Linked DNA regions of Mytilus edulis. The protein of the gene in region 3 binds, or shares a complex with, the protein of the main gene of each other region. Links are inferred from orthologs where the notes say so. Each region holds a gene or a part of one and is shown on either strand. Other genes may lie near its edges. The genes, in order: vacuolar fusion protein CCZ1 homolog, vacuolar fusion protein MON1 homolog A-like and regulator of MON1-CCZ1 complex-like.

Evidence for each region.
Region 1: the proteins of regulator of MON1-CCZ1 complex-like (region 3) and vacuolar fusion protein CCZ1 homolog are in contact, whole or in part, in a cryo-EM structure (PDB 8JBE), measured with the Drosophila melanogaster proteins. The link is inferred for Mytilus edulis from reciprocal best matches to the Drosophila melanogaster genes Bulli and Ccz1. Residues at the interface, in NP_648047.2 of Drosophila melanogaster: Tyr395, Gly397, Phe407, Tyr464, Ser467, Met470, Leu471, Gln474, Asn477, Asn498, Arg499, Asp502, Thr503, Arg505, Arg506, Leu507, Tyr510, Met512, Asp530, Thr531, Ala532, Gln535, Ile538, Asp539, Arg543, His547, Ile550, Lys559, Asp562, Leu566; in NP_647835.1 of Drosophila melanogaster: Tyr188, Leu189, Pro190, Leu191, Asp192, Lys193, Thr194, Phe196, Leu197, Arg198, Gln200, Asn201, Glu207, Val223, Leu224, Cys225, Gly226, Lys228, Tyr342, Asn385, Gln387, Ser388, Pro427, Ala428, Asn447, Tyr448, Arg449, Asp479, Phe483, Lys485.
Region 2: the proteins of regulator of MON1-CCZ1 complex-like (region 3) and vacuolar fusion protein MON1 homolog A-like are in contact, whole or in part, in a cryo-EM structure (PDB 8JBE), measured with the Drosophila melanogaster proteins. The link is inferred for Mytilus edulis from reciprocal best matches to the Drosophila melanogaster genes Bulli and Mon1. Residues at the interface, in NP_648047.2 of Drosophila melanogaster: Ile561, Arg565, Lys568, Asp590, Leu592, His595, Ser596, Arg599, Phe600, Met603, Phe631, Pro632; in NP_608868.1 of Drosophila melanogaster: Pro416, Glu417, Arg419, His438, Pro439, Glu445, Arg448, Met473, Lys474, Glu475, Arg476, Glu494, Pro495, Val496.

What each region holds. Positions count from the first base shown.
Region 1 is NC_092352.1:32,880,672-32,888,509, forward strand, and holds the start of vacuolar fusion protein CCZ1 homolog, read right to left. Parts: upstream 3,070-7,838; 5' UTR 2,921-3,069; coding exon 2,684-2,920; intron 2,116-2,683; coding exon 2,018-2,115; intron 1-2,017. Other genes in the region: short-chain dehydrogenase/reductase family 9C member 7-like, read left to right, coding at 4,717-4,957, 5,496-5,693. UniProt on the Drosophila melanogaster protein: Part of the Mon1-Ccz1 guanyl-nucleotide exchange factor complex specific for Rab7 that promotes the exchange of GDP to GTP, converting Rab7 from an inactive GDP-bound form into an active GTP-bound form.
Region 2 is NC_092344.1:78,429,804-78,436,763, forward strand, and holds the start of vacuolar fusion protein MON1 homolog A-like, read right to left. Parts: upstream 3,007-6,960; 5' UTR 2,968-3,006; coding exon 2,662-2,967; intron 1,401-2,661; coding exon 1,240-1,400; intron 574-1,239; coding exon 135-573; intron 1-134. UniProt on the Drosophila melanogaster protein: Part of the Mon1-Ccz1 guanyl-nucleotide exchange factor complex specific for Rab7 that promotes the exchange of GDP to GTP, converting Rab7 from an inactive GDP-bound form into an active GTP-bound form.
Region 3 is NC_092344.1:110,107,956-110,115,442, reverse strand, and holds the start of regulator of MON1-CCZ1 complex-like, read right to left. Parts: upstream 3,009-7,487; 5' UTR 2,967-3,008; coding exon 2,856-2,966; intron 955-2,855; coding exon 878-954; intron 1-877. UniProt on the Drosophila melanogaster protein: Positive regulator of the Rab7 guanyl-nucleotide exchange activity of the Mon1-Ccz1 complex, possibly by enhancing its endosomal membrane association.

The DNA.
Region 1 (7,838 bases), on a different chromosome or scaffold from region 3:
ATTTGATGTTTTTATATTAACTCCAAGTGAAAATTTACAAAGCTTAGTATGAATTTTCTCTAGTACAAGATAATCAGTTTCTTTTGATATAAAGTTATCCAAATGTATTTGTTTCTTATGTGGTATATAACCCCAAATTTCAGATCCATACAACAAGATTGGTCGGATTATATGGTAATAGATGTGTAATGAAGTACTAGGTTTTGGGATTTCCACTGAAAAGGTCTTCCTTAATTTGAAATATGCTTTCATTCCTTTGTTATAAAGTTCTTTCTTTGCTATTTGGAAACTCCCAGATGATGAAAAATTTATACCTAAGTATGTGTAGTTCTGTACACATTCTAAAGTCTGGTTTCCTGATGAAATTTTAATATTTTTAAGTCTTCCTGATTTGTTAAATACAAGAACCTTGGTCTTTTTTGTGTTAACTGTCATTTTATAATCAACTGTAAATTTATTTAATTTGTTAACACAATTTTGAAGTCCTTATAGTATATGTATTAACATGTTGACCTCAAATTCAAATGCTGTCTTCTTTGTTGAGGAAGCAAAAAATACAAATTTCAAATATATTTTATTGCTAATCAAAGCGCCCACAAGGAGCAGAACAATCAACATTAATTACATACGAATGATTACAAGTGATTCTATATGATTAAGACACAATGTTATAAAAAAACCCAAAAAAACAACCAAACCAAAAAATATTTATTAAGACAAGTACAAGAATACAACAAGCACAGTGTTTAATAATATAAGGAGGGTCACTGGGCATTTCTATATCTATATATCATTTAAGGAAACTTTCCTATATGAGGATAAATTTTCCAATAATTCTCCGAGTTTCTGGAGTATGAAAGTATCTTCAGAGGACATTAGCCAAATAAATTGTGATTTAATATCTAAACCACTAAAATTTTTAAACCGTTGTTTTATTTCATTTAAAAAGTTGAAACGAATATTTGAAAGTTTGTGGCACTGAAGAAGAAAATGAATTTCATCCTCAACCTCAGTACCGCACAATTTACAGATACGTTCTGACACTGTCATATTTTTGTACCTTCCTCTCTCAATCTCTAAATCGTGAGCACTGATATGGAATTTTGTTAAATAATGTCTATATCTAAAATTTTCCTGCAAAAGGTAATTTTCTAAGCAAAATCTGCTTTTAAAAAGTCTATAAGTTCTGAGCTTGTTACCATATAGTTTATTGCCTCTGAAATCATTATTAAGCTCAGTTTGCCATATTAAATCATATTTTGATTGCATCATATTTTGATACATGCTTTGGTAAGGATCTGATTTATAGGTCAAAAGATTTTGTTAGGAAACAAACCTTTTCCCAGATTTGTTTCCTTCTTAGTGGAAATTACAAGACTAACTTTGGTCAAGATTAGATGTAGGGTTTAGAGGACTATATCAATGGCAAACACTTAAAATGCACCTAAATTTCAGTCTTTTAATCACTGCTGTGATCTTTATCTTGGTCAAGTGACCCTAAAATCAACATGGATCTTTTTCACCCCAAAATCCAATGAAAAATAGTAAACATCTGATTCATGGATTGAAATGTATTGCCCAGTTATCAAACCTTTGCCAAAATTGGCAGTCTATTTGTAGGTGTTGTGACCATGACCTTGATCTGAACCTTGTAATCTAGAGGTCTTATTCTTTGAAAAGGTCATTTTTAAATAAATTAATGAAGTTTGGACATATGGTAGGAAACCAGAATTTGTCCAAATTTCATTCTATCACTTACCCTTTGACCTAGTGATACCAAAATCAAAATCAATAGAAAACTTCTTCAACCTATTGGAAATTCTAGAAAAAGTTTGTTCAAGGTATTGGATAAGGGTCAAAAGTTGTATGGTAATCAAACATGTATGTCTGATCATCATTCTTCAATATTTAACCTAATCATAATTTTTTTAAGCAGAAGAGACATGCAAAAATGCAAGCCTACATGTGTAATTGCTTCAGATATTTAAAAAAAAATAACAATTCAAAATGTACTTACTCAGTAAACTTGCAGATAGCTTCACACAGTCCAATTTGTTTTATCTTAGTATCTATATGGTCATTCTTTGGATAGTAATACATGATCTTTTTCTCTTCCTGAAATAAACATTTTAGCATTATCAAAAAGTTCTGTTTGACAATGTTTGAGTGGCAATTCTTGACATATCATTTTTTTTTATCTAAGAAATCATTGCCATGGTTTTAAAATAAAACATGGAAAATTTTAACTTTTAGTGTTGATAAACTGAGAAAGTCAAATAAGTAGGACACACTCTACATGTAAATGCGAAATTTTTAAGTTTATAGTTTTTTATGCAACTTACATTAACATAGTGTATTCAAATTATATAAATTATGTATACCAAGACATCAAAATGAAATAGAATAAGGGTGAACAGATACTAGGGTGACTTGAATTAGGGTGAAGGGTGAGTTGTTAATGTCTGTGTCATTTGGTCTCCTGTGGACTGCAGTTGTCTCATTGACAATCATACCACATCTTCTATTTTATATGCCCAGGTCTTATTCTCAATATTGGTACATATATTCTGCACATTTCATTTTTGTTTTTTATATGGAGTCTCAGCTAAGAATATGAATTATCAAAAGAGTGTATATTCTTAAATAACCAAGGCACAATACCTTGTACTTTGTATAAACTTACATCACCCTCTCTTGGTCCATATTCTGAATTGAATACAAAGAAATTAATCAGGCTTATTCCTCCTTTAACAGCCATGCTTTTGTTATGATTTGGTGTGCTGTTATGTTTTATTTCTTGGTCGCTTGATTTTCTACTAGTTGGCCTTTGACTATGCTTAGTAAAAATGTTTGACAACTTATCACTGTTGCAACAACATGAAGTGGAAATTTCTTGTTTCTCGTTAAAATATTCATGCATTAATTAATGCAGGTTTGTGATCCAGAAAATACAATTGTCAAAATCATTAATGCCTCTGATGAAAGTCATTTTCTAGCCTAGCAGACTTCAAAGTTTACTCCTACTTCACAACTCTACTTTCGATTTAACAGGAAGTCCTTTTCTAGTCTATTTCCGGCTACTTTCACTTGGCACTTTGTATGGTTCGATATTGAGGACGATAGGCCATCATAGGGTGATTATTTTGTAAAAATGTAAAGTATTTACATAACTATCAAAAACACAATTTTCATAGAATGAAATATGAAATATTCAAGTTTCATAGAGTTATGAACATCATTATACTATAAGACGTCATAATTCTTTGTATTGGAATGCAAATATTTTAACATTTCTTTGTTAGCTCAGTTCATCATAACCTTTTTGCTAAAATATATGTCAGTATTTACACCCTAAATTTAACTCTAAGTACAGACAAACCTTTCCACCCGGAGAAGTTTTAAGGCATGGCAGGATACCCAAATTGCACCTATTTAGAAAAAATATCAGTGGATATCTTACAAGATTTCCTAGAGACTAAACAATTTGCATTTTTATGATTTGATACTATGCACGTCTTTCAACATATGTAAAGATATTTAGATATACACAAAACGTTCACAGTATTTATCAACAGATGAAGTGTTTACTGAAAAAGCAAAATGTACGGAAACGTCGCCATGCGACATCATTAAAACGTCATCTTTTTTAAATTAACAAAAACAATATGTTACAAGTATCCATTTCTTAAAAAAATAAGACTAAATATGGACTAATATCCAATTGTTCTAAATAATTGAAAAAATAAAACAAAACATTTGTTATTCGATTTTTAATGATGTAAATTTAAGCATGGATGCAATTTGGGTACTCCTCATTACGAAATCATGAATAGTTTGGAGGTCGATTCAAACCTATGACTCAATATGGATTAAAAATCAAATTGGTGTACTTTTATAATAAAGAAGGATACAGCTACAAAATAAACACAGAGTGGACATTTTTGTCTTGATCATAAAAAAACGTAGGAGAAAAAACTGTCAAAATAGGTGCAATTTGGGTACCGTCAGGTTATGCATTTTATGTTTCAGAAAATTATAACCTTTTATGGATTTTGCTATTCAGTTTTTTCATTCCTGAAAAAGGTGCAAAAATAAACTAAGTTTGGGAAAAGTTTGAGAATCTCCTCTCATATAATCAAAGTTGTATGTAGTATTGATCTAAATGGACAATAGATGGACAATAGACATTGCAAACAAGAGGTGATTTAAACTGTGTAACTGAGTTGACTGTATCGAATGAAACTTGTGTGTTTGTTTATTTTGCTATCTTCTGCAGACTGTAAAAAAAGGCACATCAAAATCCAGGTAAAAGTTTTTAATTTTCTGAAACATAGACTACTTATAACTTTTATATATCTAGGTCCTGCCATGCCTTAAAACGTTCCTAGATGCATCAGTTTGTCTGTATTCATAGTAGATTTTGTGATGTTAACGCAGCCATTTTCAATTTCTTTTGATGAACCTTTACAGTGTTCATTAAAATGTATAACAAATGGACAAACATGACTGTTGGTACACCTACAAAATTACTCTGTGCTGTGCAGTGCAGTTGGAATTTTTTTAGCTTTCGCTAGTCAATGCTAATTATTCAAAAATTAAATACATTGTGTGCTTCAGTAAGATTAAACAGATCAATTCTAAGAAAACTCATTCTGCAGTTGTTAAACATGTGTATTGATTAATTACAGAGAGCAGTATAAGCTACAAGCTATCAGAATGGACAGCATAAGAAGTTACTTAGGAATGGGAATCAAGAAGTTCATAGGATTCCAGGCTTTTGAACTGACTTATCTGGGAGTATTGGCAGTGCTACCATTCATTATAGTCCAACCATTCATAGCCAAAACAATACTGTTTGTGGCTTTTCTCATTATACTAAATGTAGTGTATCAGAAACTTACCTTCAGACGAATAAACACAGAGGAAAAATATGTCTTTATAACTGGTTGTGATACAGGTAATAATGTAATAGGAAAACAAACATGACAAAGGATATATGGGATCCATTCAATGCAGAGCAAAAGAAGATGGGTTGATAGTCTCTGGTTATTGACTTTTCAAACTTAAGTAATATCAGGTAGATTTGGACCATACTTGTATTTTAGAATTATAATAATTCTTATGGTAATATGGTATAACATACAACTAGTGCATTGAATTAAATGACAATTTTAATGATATTCACACTGAAAAGTTGGTCGTCTAATATAGACGGAACAGTACAGACTAAAGTAAAGTAAAAGTAATTATGATCAATTGCTTAATATTGTGCCTTATGAACATTAAAATTGTTACTGATAAAAAATAACATTTAAACCAAATTCAAAGGATACTATAAATTACTGTATGTATTTCTCCTCTTCATGTTAGTAAATTAAGGCGAACTCAAAAGTGGTGTCATGAAGTTATTCCAAACTTTCAGGATTTGGTTGTTATTTTGAAAGCATTGAGAAAAGAGTTTTTATCTTGTTTTTTTGGTAACTTTATCTTAAAAGGTTTTGGGAATGCTGTGGCTCGTCGTTTATCAGGAGAAGGATTGTCTGTGTTTGCTGGGTGTTATAATCCAGATGGTAAAGGAGCCAGTCAACTTAGATCAGAGTACAGTAGTATACAGATAATAAAACTTGATATAACAGATGATAATTCTGTTGACCAGGCTTTTGCTGAGATAGAGAAGAAAGTCAAAGATAAAGGTATTTACATGTATATATATATGACAAATTGATATCAGCATCATAAGCAGAAACAGGAAGACACAATGCCACAAAATATTTGAACAGAATTTCAATGATGAAGTTAAAGTTAGAACTGTTTTTGGTCTGTCAAACTTTAACTACATGTAGCAAATTGATGTTCATTCCTTAGAAATTTCGGGTGCAATGATAAATGATACTCTTAGTATCAGTCTTTTATTTAAGCCAAATTAAATAATTAATAGACAACTCCTAATTGTTAAGCTGCATAAATAACAGAAAAGGAAAATGATGGGTTTGAAATGTTACATGTACATGTGTGTTTTGTTGAATACCTGTAAGTGGATTAATTCTTCCTCAATGAATTACTATGCATTTGTATCTGTGATAAAATGAGGTAAATTTTTAACCAATTTATGACAACTATATCCCTGTTGTAAAATATTATCTTGTTACTAATGGAACTTATATACTTTCATTGTTTTCTTTATAGATGTCATTGCAAATTTTCATATAAAACTACAAACTCTAACTTTATCTTTTACTACCAGGTTGTATATATTTTTGTTGAGCCTTCGACTTATGTCGAAAAAGTGAGATATAGCTTTCCTACATTCTGTTGGTGTCGGCGGTGGCGGCGTTCACAAATATTCACTCTGTGGTTAAAGATTCCTGTTTTTCCGTATTTTACTTATAAATGGACTTAATTTTTCTGCAAGGAAACATTACTTTCACTCTGTGGTTAAAGTTTTTTAAGTTTTAATAACCTCCTTAAACTGGCCTGGATTTCTACCAAACTTGGACAGAAGCTTGTTTATGATCTTAAGATAGTATCCAGAAGTAAATTTTGTAAAAAAAAATCCTGTTTTTCCGTATTTTACTTTAAATGGACTTAGTTTTTCTGCCAGGAAACATTACATTCACTCTGTCATTAAAGTTTTTAAAATTTTAATAACTTTCTTAAACTAGCCGCTAATATCAGTGAAAATACACCTACTTCATGTAATTGTAGTAATTCCACATACATTTATGGACCCATTTCCCATGTTATAACAGGAGATCTTAATATCGTTCAAGACTGAGAGTTAAAATCATTCCTCAGTAAAGGACCTAAATATCGTCCCCCGTCAGTTATTAATTGGAATGAATTTCGTAATATCATCCACGACTCACTCCGTACTTACTGTTTGAAATGGATAAAACGGGAAAAAGCTGACAAAAAATCTTTGGACTCTTTCTTTAATTCAGTAATGAACATAGTTGATATACATATTCAACATTTTAAAGAACATTTTATTATTAACAATAACCACAATAAACCTAATTCTCGTATCAAACATAAACTAAAAGAACTAGCCAAGGAATTTGTTTTTTTCCCGGCCGATAAAGCTGCTAATAATATTGTTATTGTTTGACGTAAATTTTACATTGAGGTTCTGAAAAAAGAAATTACCAATTCACCAACATTCCAACTGACTCCATTTTCAGAAATCGACATCTGTAACAAACATAAACTTTTAGCTACCCCTTTACAAGCAGAACTGAATACAATGAAAGTCCCTACTATGTATTGGCTTCCGAAGCTACACAAAACACCTTACAAATATAGATTTATTTCGTCTTCAAGCCATTGTTCCACTACTAAATTGTCTATTCTTCTTACCAGTACACTTGGTACAATCAAAAACCTGATAATAAATTGTTCAAATAAGGCCTTCGAAAATAGTGGAATTAATTACTTTTGGAGTGTCAAGAACTCGTTGGAAGTACTTGATAAATTGCATGCTTATATTGGTGATTTTGAATCTGTTCAAAGTTTTGATTTTTCTACCCTGTATACCACATTGCCTCACATTCTCATTAAGAAAAAATTCACCCACCTAATTAAATGGGCATTTAAAAAGTCAGAATGTGAATATATATGTTCAAACTCTTTTAGGTCATTTTTTAGTAGCAATAAACAAAAAAACTATGTCAATTGGACATGCTTTGATACTATATATGCCCTTGAATTTTTACTAGATAACATTTTTGTTCGCTTTGAAGATTCTATATATCGTATGGTTATTGGAATTCCAATGGGGACTAACTGTGCACCACTTATTGTGGACCTGTTTTTGTATTGCTATGAGTTACAATTTATGA
Region 2 (6,960 bases), about 32 Mb from region 3:
ACTAGTACATAAATATTTTGAATGTCCAATGTAAACATACAAATTTTGTTTACATTTTGTAACTGGAGCTAAAATTTTGTATAACTCGAGCTACATGTACAATGGTAGTCGAACTGTTGTACATCAATTCTTACCTTAACTCTTGCATGTTGAATTATACTTTGAGCAATGCTATCTCTAACGGGGCTATCTAAAGGCAGACATCGTACTGCTTGAAGTTTAAAACTAGGGTCATGGTCCATTAAATTCAATAGATTGTCAATAAATTTTTCGGATCCACTCAACATTCTCCGCAAATCATAATTTCTCCTCTGTTTGAAGATTTTTTGTAATGAAGTAAATGTAAGTACACTAAGAATTTGATTATAAATATATGATAGTTGTAGTACAAGTTGTTGGACTGATTCCAATCCTTTTGATACCGCAACAAGGTAAATATGTTCTCGAACTAAGAACACAAACTTATGATCTCCAGCAACAATACTACGCATTGAGTCTTTAGCTGCAGACACAAATGATATCAAAGCTTGAAGAACTCCCATAATTGTCACCAGTTTATCTTCCTGACCATGCCTGTATAAATAAAACTTTCAATATGAATTTTAATGTGAAGATATTAATCTTATAGCACTAATTAAATACATAATCATTGATAATACGAAAATACACAAAATTACACAGAAATATAATATGCTAGATGGTTGTAAAAATTCTTAACAAGACAATTTTCAGATATTTCTTTTCAAATGCTGTACAAACATTTCACTTGCAGAAAATAAAGATTTTTAAAGTCTTTATTTTGAACTTTTTACATGGGAAGTTCGGGACCCTGGAAAGCCATAGAATAGAATGAACAGATATTAATTGACAGCAAGTTTTTAAAATGTCTGAATACAACAGAAAATTTTATATACTTTGTAATAATACATGTTATCAGGTTAGAAAATCATTGGGACTTGTCATTTTTGCCATGGCGAGTATTAAAGTGTGAAAATCAAATTTTATTGCTATAAAATTTTTTTTTTAATTTCTCCATGACAAAAAAGCAAGGAAATGAAAATAACTTTGGATTATTTTGAAACCAATTTAGTGTTAAACTCTTTCTCTTCCCCTAATGTGATGATCCCTCCATGTTGATACAGATAACTTTTATCTATTGCTAAATCATTTGAACAGAAAAAAACATGCATATAACAATAAATTTTCTGATTTATATCCTATCTATAAAATATCTATTACCGTGAGTAAATAGGCTTTCCAGAACTACTTAGTATAAAAATATGCTTCTTTTCCAGTTGCCACTTGGACCCTTTTCCATACTCATCTTCTTCAATTTCTTCTATAGGGTCAGACTCTTTCAAAACCACATCATTCAAAGCTGCAGATAAATCTTTTGGAATCTAGTAAAAAACATGAAAAATAAGAAGGATTAGCTTATTTAACTGTATTGGTACATTTTGTACAGGTATGTATACATTCATCTGTCTTTGACAAATGTTTGCACACAAAGGTATTGGATAAGACCACTTCATTTTTATTTTGACAATTACTTTTTTCCACTATCATCATGATTATTGTAAATTTAGATGACAGAAATCATTGTGAGGTTTTCATAAATGGGAATAATGTGATTGAATGAGTATCACAATAATAAACCTCACATTCTGATATCTAAAAGTACAACTGTATGCAGATTTTCCTGAAACTGCAACAAATAATCTTGCATTTTAGTCCATTCTTCATAATTTTTTGCAATAATAAATGCACTCAATAATTTCTGCAATTTTTAGGCATTACACTTATCTGTAAAAATACATAGACTTTCTACCCATTGCCAATTTTCAAAAGAATTTCATTGATTTGCATATATAGTTTAATTATAAGTTACACCACTGTGAAAATGATAAACCAAAAAAAAAAAAACAATATCAAAATGGGAATGTGTCCATGGGACAAAGATGAACCACTAAAAAAAAAACGGTTAAAGTGACGCTATCAATTTGTAAAAGAGTATAACTCTAGAACGGTTGAAGTACCACCCGAATACTGCCTTGATTTATACTTCAATAAGCTTTGTGTAAATGTTTCATAGCATTTGCCAAATTAGTTGTGGCAAACTTAAGTTAGAGACAGAATAAAAAAACAATTTTTTCATTTGTAAAGGGGCATAACTCTAGAAAAATAAAAGTGCCACCCCCAAAATAAAAACTTTATCTGTATTTTGTGGTAATTAGTTTCATAACATTTGTTTGAGGCAATCTAAAGTAAGAGAACGGAAACAAACTTTGGAACGTACAGACAGATGTAATTATGGACGTTCAGTTGGACAAGGGTAGAACTTTAAAATGCCCCCCTCCGCTATGGCACTGCACTGTATAGTCCAAGAACATCAGAATAATCTCGGACTATGCCCTGTATTATGTGTATTGATACAAAATGTATGTTTTTGTTTTAAATGTGGTATTATAGTATACATCAAGAACAGTTGTAAGTTTGGCATTAAAATCTTAAAATCGTTTTGGAACTCATGGTCTTGGAACCAACAGATATTACATGTATATCTGATCATTTATAAACAGGAACATTGTTTTGGACCTAATGGACTTAAAAATTGTGGCTGTACACAAATATTAATATTTCGTGACATGAGATGATAATGACCTCATTGTGATCTTCACTTGATTCTTCACCAGTGGATGTGTCATTGTGTTCTGAGGAACTGTGTTCGTCCTGAGATCCAGAACGAACAATGGCGTGAATGACACCACTTGGATGGCTGTCATAATCTTCGTTGACCAGATCGTCGTAATTTATATCCACAAAGGTATCTGCTGCCACAAGAACTGCGTTCTTTATTTCTTCTGATGCAGGTTCTACAAAATCGTCTTGATCAGAAGCAGAAGCGGAGTCTGGATTTCGCACTGAAGGGGGCACCTGTTCCGCCTCTTTGCCCTCTGACTCGTCCATAGCCAGGGTTCATTATTTGAGATCACCGAAAATGACTTCCGGTTTATAAAATATTTTTGATGTTGTATGCTTTAAATCTGTAACATAGTTTACAGTGTTTGCAAAACTTCTGATTTGTCATATAAATACATTCTTGATATTCGAGAGTCTCAATAAACTTTTTCAAAGAATGGCATATCATTATTCTAAATATAAGGGGAACAAGTGTTAGCTGTCCAAAAAGCTTGTCTGGCTTTAGCTTTCATGATTGTATAGACGTTACGCGCGATGTTCGTACATGTAAGCGTTACCGTAACACAACGTCCCGAATATGTCGTAACGTTCAAACCGAAAATTTGACTGAAACGTTGTTTTTAAGCAAGTGCGACATTCTTGTAAGAATCCGCAAAATCATCGACGGTGCTTTTTAACTACCCATCGAAAATTGATGTATTTTAGTTTCTTGAAAATTTAAGAAAAATAACATTTAAAAAAATCATAAAATTCTACCATTATAAGAGCAGTGATAAGCAAACAATTGACGTAAATTTGAGTTGAGTTCGTTTTTACGTCAGAAAATGGCGATGCGACAAACTTGTAAGCCTTTGAAAAATAGCTCATAAATTACCATATATCATTTTTCAGGATATTTGTCTTTAAATTCATAAAATTAAGCAAATTAACATTGATGTAGTAAATACAAATACTAAACTTTTTTCATTTTAGATAAATGTTTTTTGATTCTCAAATCTGGAATTCCAATTTTTTCCCCGCGGGACAGATTTGCCCTTGTAGTATGGAACGCGGTTTTTTCTATGACGTCATCATAACGTCATAAAAAAATGCATAAAAGACTGAAGGAACCATTCTGTTTAATTATGGAAAAAAAAAACGTTTTTCAAAATATTAAATAGTTTTGACCGCAAAATCATAGTTTAGACTAATAGTGGTTACAATAAATGAAATATGTTACGCGGGACAACCTAAAAATCGCCGTTTTTTTTAAATGAAGCTTGTCGCATGCAACATAAAACATAGTTTCAACAATTATTTGTTTCGTTTTTATTTTAAAAATCGTTATTTTTTAAAATACGTACAATAGCAATGAATATGATATCACACAATTATATATTTTGGACTTGCATCTTGCCAACTACACCGACTGAATTTCCAATGAGGTACGAATATCGTGCGTAACGTCATAGCAAAAACATTAGTTATATCTGGGACATACTTTACTAGTATACTAGTCCATGCTTTGAAGACTGCAGTAAAGGTTTGCTTAGAGTGTGGGTTAGATTGAGATTGTCTATTGGTATGCAAATGACATTATGTAACACATTATAAGAAATTAAGTTAGATCATAAGTGACATAATGTCGCAGTGACAACAGATAGCTTATGTTTGAAATTCTAAAAAGTTCGGCTTTGACGTAGGAGCATATTGTAAAATAATTCTTATAGTCCCCCAAAAAGGGCTTGTGTAAAGTAAGTCTTACTGTACAATCATTGCTAGTCAAGTTCCCCCCCCCCCCCCCCCCCAAAAAAAAAAAAAGACTGCTACTTCATACTAATTTGATCAAAGTTCTAAGTTCTTTTATTTTCCAATCAAGGCTCCCTGACGGGACATAATGACAACAATACACAATATATCACATTCATAACTACACATAAACATATTGATAAAAATAGAATTAAAATCTTACATTCATAACACATAAACATATTGATAAAAATAGAATTAAAATCATCACAAATAGTGGATGAGATTACCATGTCTATCATAGAATATATATGATACATATAATCTGGGAACAGTATATTTATGTTCCTGATATAATCATACAAAATATGATCACAACATAAAACATGTTACTTACAATTATATATTTTTTTTATAAATCAGTTAAGTTTTTTCTCGAGTTTTTTCAAAGTTTCATATCTTTAATATCATATACTGTTATTCCAGGATCATGAAATTTTTCTGTCTTTTAATGGTTGTTTCTTACATTGACGAGCTAACAATTATTGGAAACAATAAAACTTGTTTCACAATATTTGTGATTTTACTTATTTCTACTTGAACTTTTAATCTTGAACACATTGGAGTTGTATAGCTTATCATTTATACATATTTTATTTGTAACTAAAAACTACAATTGCATGCTTGAAAATTAAGTTATAGATATTTCATATCTTTAGGATAGTTTTGTGGTGTTTCGTAAAATATATCATAGCTTTTGTTGAAAGCCTCGGCCTTATTATACTTAAGTCTGCCTTCATAAGTTTAATAAAAACGGTATAGGTTAATGTTATGTTACTTTTTTAATTGAATTCAGACTAGTAAGTAAATGCTAGAAATTAATCATGAAAGATCACAGGAACGAATAATTTAAATTGTTTATAATATTATTGATACGCTGTTTAATGTTTTGTTTTGGGTTCTTAATGGTAATACATAAACCAATTGGGAAAACAATGATGTATTAATTATGCACAGTATAACTGTTACAAAAATCCGAAATGAAACAATTCGCAGTCATAGCAGGAAATTAACTTACATTTCTTCAAAAAAAAATAATAGCCGTCTGTTATATATATATTTTTAAGAGATTATTGTTTGGAGACCACTAAAAGAAAGTTTATCATTCAACTTATATATAATTTACACAATGATTTTATGATTAATGAAAAACGATAGATTTCAGTAATTTGTGGACCCACATTTTAGAGGGTCAAGATAATCGTGATAAATTTCAGGTATACATATATCCTTTACTTCCGATGTCATCATGGTGTAAATATAATTTATAATTTGTACAAATAGATACAATTAATACTTACTTTCATTGCATATATTTTGATACAGAAAAACCTTTATATTACCCGTATTTATTTCCTTTTTTGTGGTTTTTTTTTGGTAAACCAACTAAAACGTATTTTATCATTTACATGTAATCATTGTACAGTGGTTGTCGTCAGTTTATGTAGTTCATACGTGTTTATCGTTTCTCGTTTTTATATAGATTAGACCGTTGGTTTCCCGTTTTCGGAATGGAAAGGGTGACTGGGGAATAGAAGTATGATCACTTGATCTTCCTCCGACCGGCAGTAAAACGCTAGACAAAGTGGGGCGTCCGTTTGGCTGTGCGGGATGTATCAAGTTTGCAGCCATGTCGAGTCAGAATGGGGACGTTAAATCCGATGTCTCGTGTAAAGAGAGTGCCACGCTTTCTGCACGTTAAGAACCCTTGCAACACCTCTTTGAGGGGTCCGTAGGTGGCCTGTTGCAAGGCAAAATTTCTGTCCACTATACCCTCATTTCCCAGACCATCATCTCGGACGGCTTCTATTCAGTACAAGACCTACCTATTGTTTTTATTGTTAACCTGTTCTAGCCCTGACCATGCATGAAATATTTGCCACTGGACGTTAAGCAACCAGCAATCAATCAATAAACCGTTTGAATGGTTTTACACTAGTAATTTTTGGGGCCCTTTATAGCTTGCTGTTCGGTGTGAGCCAAGGCTCCGTGTTGAAGGCCGTGCCTTGACATATAATGGATTACTTTTATAAATTATTACTTGGATGGAGAGTTTTCTCATTGGCATTCATGCCACATTTTTATATACCTATATATTATACTAATATTCGACAAATATCCCATTCTTTCAACCTAGGCATCATTAAAAGTGTCTCTATCGACCCTTTCATATTACAACATCTGCTATACCACAGTAGAAACTCCCTGTTTCGGCCCTTCTTTACTTATAACGTAATTTCCAGCTGATATGATCCCTCCATAAAGGCACACAAATAGAGGATACCAAAGGGACATTCAAAGTCCGAGTCGAAAATAAACTGCCAACGACATGGCTAATAGACAAACAGACAAATAGACACACAGACACACAGACACACAGACACACAGACAAACAGACAAACAGACAAACAGAAGTACTTTAACAACATAGAAAACCAAAACTTTGTAACACCACCTGCTGATTTGATCACT
Region 3 (7,487 bases):
ATTGTCTGTAAACTACAAAAATGATTCTTTTTGGGCCCCTTATTCCTAAATATTCAGGGATATAAACTCCAAACTGACACCAAGCCTTCCCTTCTTTATATGGAACCTTGTGGTACAATGTCAGAGAGATCCATACAGTTAAACATGTTATTACCCCAAAACTTCAAAAATGCTTGTTTTTGGCCAATAATTCCTAGACTGTTTGCCCCATAACCCTTAAAATATATCCCAACCTTCTAATTAATGGTATGAACATTGTGGTACAATTTCAGGGTAATTGAAATACTTATACACAACTTATTGACCTGAAACTAGATAAATGTATGTTTTGGGCCCCTAATTCCTAAACCGATGGGACCATAACCCTAAAGATCAATCCCAACCTTCCCTTTGAGGTTACAAACATTGTGGTAAAATTTTATTGATTTCTATTTACTTATACTAAAGTTATTATCCGGAAACCATCCGTCTTTGGATGACGCTGACGACGACGTGATACCAATATACGACCGCAAAAATATAAAAATTAGAAAATAGGGAGGCCAAAATCAGGCCTTATCCTACCTTGTCCTTATCTGATTAGATAAGTTGGTCATTCTTGAAGTTATATTTCTCAAATTGCTCGTCATGTTCAGAACAAGACAAAAATGTTAGTGACTTTCAAAATAAAGAACAGTAAGTTAACATGGTTAAGCACTTATCTTCTGGTATATTGCAGGATAAAGTTTTGCTTCATGTATGTATTGGATAGCAAATTCAGACAAGTGATGATCTTATCAGACAATAATTTGAATAACAATACATGTATATAAAATTAGCAAATTAAATCATAATTTCAAATTTCTTTCAAATATAATGTACGGTACAAATGTACAACCTGAAAGTAAGAGAGTTGCTATCGTTTGGTCCTTTAACCACCACCCCCATAGCTCCACAGGAACGTACTGCAAATACCTACAACATACATAAATCACTCAATGGAAAAAAATCAATTAACCCCCTTTCCCTTTTTTTTTGTGAGATATAAACAAAATGTTTTAATTCATAGTGTAATATAAATTCTATGTTCTTTTGCCTCTGATCAATCATTATTTTGCATGTAAAAAATTAAAGGTTATCTCTTTGAAGAAGACCATGTGTAATCCTACAAATAGGTATTCAATTAATATTTGTTCCAGCTTTTCAAGTTATGTCCAGGCTTTTTATTTCCTTGTAAGTGGTCACATATAAACAAATTCAGACAGAGTTATCTATTACATGTACTAGTATACAAATAGACATTCAACCTGACTCATCTTTCCAAATTATGTTATGGCTTTTTTTAATTCTTAGCAAGAGGTCATCCTGTTGGTTTTTGATGTGAGCAGTTTTTATTACGATATGTGTTTTAGTTTTACAACATATGGTCAAGAATCTACATAGATAAAGGGGTGGTTTGTGTGTATGCAACACTGTTTCACCCCACCACATTAGAGCCTGTACAAAGTAAGGCTATCTGAACCATGTGTTATTGTTGTTGTTTTGTCTTTGAAATCTATTTATTCTGAGGAATTTGAGTTAGGTGAAGGAGTTTGTTCTGTAGTTAGAAAAAAAGATTGAATACACAATGTTGAATGTCAGGGATTTCTGTTATCCATTTCATGTACATTGTATTAAGTTATTTGACATATAAATAAAGGGTATTCTTTCTGGCTTCTGTTGTCCTTGTAAAACATTCATAATATTTACTAATATCATCTGTTGACAATGGTTGATGGCAAAGACAACATAACTAAAGTAATATTTTTTTCCACAATACAGTCCCTTTTGCACTCATACATGTACAACATCTTCTTATATCCATACTTAGTACAAGTATAAATAAAAGGATTGATAGATTGATTGTTGTTTGCTTTAGTCCAGTAGCAAATATTTCACGAATGATCAGAATGAGAACAAATCATCAATTAATATGGTAGGTTCTGTAAAGTGAAAGGTTGAGGTATCAATGTAGTCCTCCAGAAAAGTAAGCTTACAATCGCCTTCATGATGTTCATGTGGCATCACAGCAAAAAAAAAATAGCCTTCAGACGTCAAAATATACCTAAACACAATTTGTCCGCAATTACTGGACATCACAAAGGTTACTGTAAAATTCTGACATCACAATAGTGTCACAGATTCCAAAATAGCAATTTATATACACCAATATCAAGTTTTTTAGGACCTGGGTCAATCTGTGTATATGATATATGACATCATTGAACAATGGATTCTTATCGAGACCTTATAACATAAATGAACTTTCTAACAGGAAATATACGCAAAAGAGCACAAATTTAGAATTCTTCTATCATTTAAACTATTAACACATTACCATGTTTACGTAAAATAAGCAAATCCCAACCTGACAGGATAATGGCGGTTTGGCCATGATCAACAAACTGAATATTTTGCCATGACTTCGGTGCGACTAAATGGAAAGTTTGAAATAAAAACATGATTTCAATGACAAAGGGTAGACAAGACTGTCATTGGTTGAAACAACACTGAATCAAGGTACCAGACACATATACAAATGTGTACACAAAAATATGTCTCTGAAGCCTTGCAGACAAGTGTTGAAATGAAGGGATTCAAATGAAGTTACAAAGTCATTTTCTAAGCTATGACAAATCAGAGTGTGTGGCCTTCAAAGACAACATTCTAGTTGTACCACAGGCACTAGACGTTCTGTCAATAGCATGAAAATATTGGCAATGGGAAGAAAATAGTGTCCATATATATAATATATATATATGGACACTATTTTCTTCCCATTGCCAATATTTTCATGCTATTGACAGAACGTCTAGTGCCTGTGGTTGTACATTCACCTGTCTATTAGCGTCGTCATAGAATACGTTTGTGACTTTATCAACTGGGTCGAATCGAATAGGGTTTTTACAAAGTTCGATGTAAAAACACCCATCGTTTTGTTGTGCCATTTTTGCATCTCTTCTGTTTTCACTGTCTTCACCAAAAGTCAAGAGAGATTCCGAAAGTCTATTACAGGTGCGTTCGAACAGACATCTCTATCCTTTATTTAAATAGTACTGTTTATCATACACATTTTATTTGTGTTTTCTTTGAACAATTTAAAGTAAGGTTAATTAAGATGAGAATAATAAGATTTGGGCGGGCAGGGGAGAGAAGAAGGATTTTGTAAATGCATATCCTGACAATTAAATAGATAATAATAAAATAACATGGTATAGGACACAATACAAATGAATATATTCTATCATATAAATAACTTCCTAATTCTTACTCTATCTGCCTGTTATGATCTGTTATGGTTCTTAGCTTTTATGTGTGAGTGGAGTATCATAACTAAGACTACTATAACGTTATAGTAATCTCAGATCATAATAATTTCAGAATGCTAACTTAAGTTAGAGTGGAATAAAAAAGTCATAAAGTGACATAACTCTAGAAAGGCACCCTGCCAAAAAAAGTGTCCCCTATCATTTTATGTTTCTTATTTGCAATAGAAAAAAAACCTATTGACACAGAGATATGTTGAAATACAATTTAAAACAAGAATGTGTCCCAAGTACACGGATGCCCCATCTGCACTATCATTTTCTATGTTCAGTCAACCGTGAAAATGGGATGAAATCTCTAATTTGGCATTAAAATTAGAAAGAACATGTTTACTAAGTTTCAAGTTGATTGGATTTCAACTTCATCAAAAACTACCTCGACCAAAATGTTTAACCTGAAGCAGGACAGACGAACAAACGAACAAATGGATGCAAAGACCAGAAAACATAATGCCCATAAATGGGTCATAAAAAAGACAATCTGATTAACAGCACATACAACATTGCTTATCATTTCAAAGTCACTGGACCATGACAATATATCTGATAGTAATACAATATATAGAAAATAGCATTGATCTACAAAAAGCTCATTTAAAACCGATTAACCCAAAAAATCTTAACAATAATTGAGGCTGCCGCTAAAAACGCTGAAAAAGGCAACACCTACATATCAGCAGTTTTCATTGCAGGCTAGACAAAACTTGACAAAAAGTTAGGTGGAAGGGGGCAATCACTTTGGTTTCCCTAAATATATTCGCAACTATAATTAACTCTTGATGATTAAGAGCATGTCATATTGTACAGCTACTTGTCTATTGTTTAAGAAAGTATGTTGCATCCTAAGGAATTTTTTACTAAAGCTTCTTCCTAATCATGAGTAAAATTTAGATTTTTTAACATTTAGGTAGTTTGCATTTTGATAAATGGACTATTTATCTTTATGGCTGATAACAGCAATAAAGGGCTGCGCTTTAGCGCATGATTACGCCCGTTGTTTGAAAGACGACGGGCGTATAAAAATGGCAAAAAAGACTACAATGACAATGAGGAGCAGCAAGAAGATAACAGGAAAAGTGAAGATGGTGAAAGTGACTCTACTGAAAGTTATGATCTAAATGAGGAAGTAGGTGATGAAAGTAAGGATTTCATTGATGATGAAGATAAAGATTTCATTGATGATGAGGAGGCCTCTTCTGAGAATGAAAATGAGGATTTTCTGATGATGAGGACAGTGATTACAGTGAAGAAGACACTGATGATTAAACCTAGTTCAGCTTTTCAATATTTAGCATAAAAAACAAATATCATTAACATTGGCATATAACATAGAAGTCTTCAATGCAATATAAGGAAAGTGATATATGATTATGGGTTTTAGTAATTCTATGGCTGATTTACTAATTTTATAGTAGTTTGAAAGAAGGTAATTTTCTTTGGGTATATTGCTCATAGTTAGATTCTGTTGAACACAGTAAGGAATCCATACTAAATTATACAAAGATGTATGCAAAAGTTGTTCAAATGGTGCTTAATATGGTGGATAATGATTATTACCTTTTATTGTTTAGAATATTCACAAGATGATCATATTGATAAATGTTTAGGAGACTTGATTTCCTTATTTTTTTCATAAAATGACACCCTTTAACATTTAAGGAATATTAAGTCACATGTTAGGATTTTCATGTTGTCACTTGTTCACTTATTATGTGCTATTGTAGACTAGTTATGTTTTATAACATTTTTTATTGCGCTCAACCCTTCCACCGAAACCGAACTCTATAAAAAAGCTGCAATGCTAAGGTATCATTTGTGATTTCAATTGCAACCAATTTTAACAAGAGTAAAACATCCTATATGCAAAAACAGTATTTGATTTTTATCCATAGCTTAGATAGTAAAAATGTTATCATAAAATGATATATGCCTCAGGGAACAGTTAGTATCTCAGGGACTGCTAATGTGCTTTCATCCTTGCAACCATTCAATAATAGTACAAACGTATGACATTCATGGAATCTATTTTTTACAAGAAATTTAATGTTTTAAATTGAACTAAAGATTTTACAAATTTTATGTTTTCATCAGATTTTATTAAGTATTATTTGTTACATCAATAGATATAAACAATTCACCAAAGTTTCATGGACATTGGTGAAAGCCTTTTTGAGTTATTGTCTGAAGTGTTAAAAAATTCCCCTTTTTTTTATGAATAAAGCCCCATAAATCCAAAACTTAAAATCTGAAATTTATAAAAATTGAAAGGGAGCTTACATCAATAGATATAAACAATTCACCAAAGTTTCATAGACATTGGTGAAAGCCTTTTTGAGTTATTGTCCGAAGTGTTGAAAATCCCCCCTTTTTTATGAATAAAGCCCCATAAATCCAAAACTTAAAATCTGAAATTAAAAAAAAACGAAAGGGAGCTTACGTCAATAGATATAAACAATTCACTTAAGTTTCATGAAAATTGGTGAAAGTGTTTTTGAGTTATTGTCTGAAGTGTGGACGACGGACGGACAACGGTATACCATAATACGTCCCGTCTAAAAGACGGGCGTACAAAAACAGAAATAACCTTTTATTCTGATTTAAACATGTTGAAAGATAAAAAAATATTGCAAACCACTTTTTTCCATTTTAAATACTTCTCATTCACACATAAAAACTGTATAATGTATATGGTTATGCGAAACATACATTTGAAAACTCAGAACTTAAGTCTGTTTTCAATTATCCAAAACGATTATTTAAACCAACATATTCTCAATTTGCCATACATGTATTAAGTACAACTTCATTGATTGTTACCAAACAAACATGAATACGTATTCCACCTTTTACCTTAATTTTTTTAATAGAATAATGTAGTGTAGATCTGAAGTTCTGAACATAATAAGCCCCCCCCCCTTTTTTTTTTATGAATAAAGCCCCATAAATCCAAAACTTAAAATCTGAAATTTATAAAAATTGAAAGGGAGCTTACATCAATAGATATAAACAATTCACCAAAGTTTCATAGACATTGGTGAAAGCCTTTTTGAGTTATTGTCCGAAGTGTTGAAAATCCCCCCTTTTTATGAATAAAGCCCCATAAATCCAAAACTTAAAATCTGAAATTAAAAAAAAACGAAAGGGAGCTTACGTCAATAGATATAAACAATTCACTTAAGTTTCATGAAAATTGGTGAAAGTGTTTTTGAGTTATTGTCTGAAGTGTGGACGACGGACGGACAACGGTATACCATAATACGTCCCGTCTAAAAGACGGGCGTACAAAAACAGAAATAACCTTTTATTCTGATTTAAACATGTTGAAAGATAAAAAAATATTGCAAACCACTTTTTTCCATTTTAAATACTTCTCATTCACACATAAAAACTGTATAATGTATATGGTTATGCGAAACATACATTTGAAAACTCAGAACTTAAGTCTGTTTTCAATTATCCAAAACGATTATTTAAACCAACATATTCTCAATTTGCCATACATGTATTAAGTACAACTTCATTGATTGTTACCAAACAAACATGAATACGTATTCCACCTTTTACCTTAATTTTTTTAATAGAATAATGTAGTGTAGATCTGAAGTTCTGAACATAATAAGCCCCCCCCTTTTTTTTTATGAATAAAGCCCCATAAATCCAAAACTTAAAATCTGAAATTTATAAAAATTGAAAGGGAGCTTACATCAATAGATATAAACAATTCACCAAAGTTTCATAGACATTGGTGAAAGCCTTTTTGAGTTATTGTCCGAAGTGTTGAAAATCCCCCCTTTTTTATGAATAAAGCCCCATAAATCCAAAACTTAAAATCTGAAATTAAAAAAAAACGAAAGGGAGCTTACGTCAATAGATATAAACAATTCACTTAAGTTTCATGAAAATTGGTGAAAGTGTTTTTGAGTTATTGTCTGAAGTGTGGACGACGGACGGACAACGGTATACCATAATACGTCCCGTCTAAAAGACGGGCGTACAAAAACAGAAATAACCTTTTATTCTGATTTAAACATGTTGAAAGATAAAAAAATATTGCAAACCACTTTTTTCCATTTTAAATACTTCTCATTCACACATAAAAACTGTATAATGTATATGGTTATGCGAAACATACATTTGAAAACT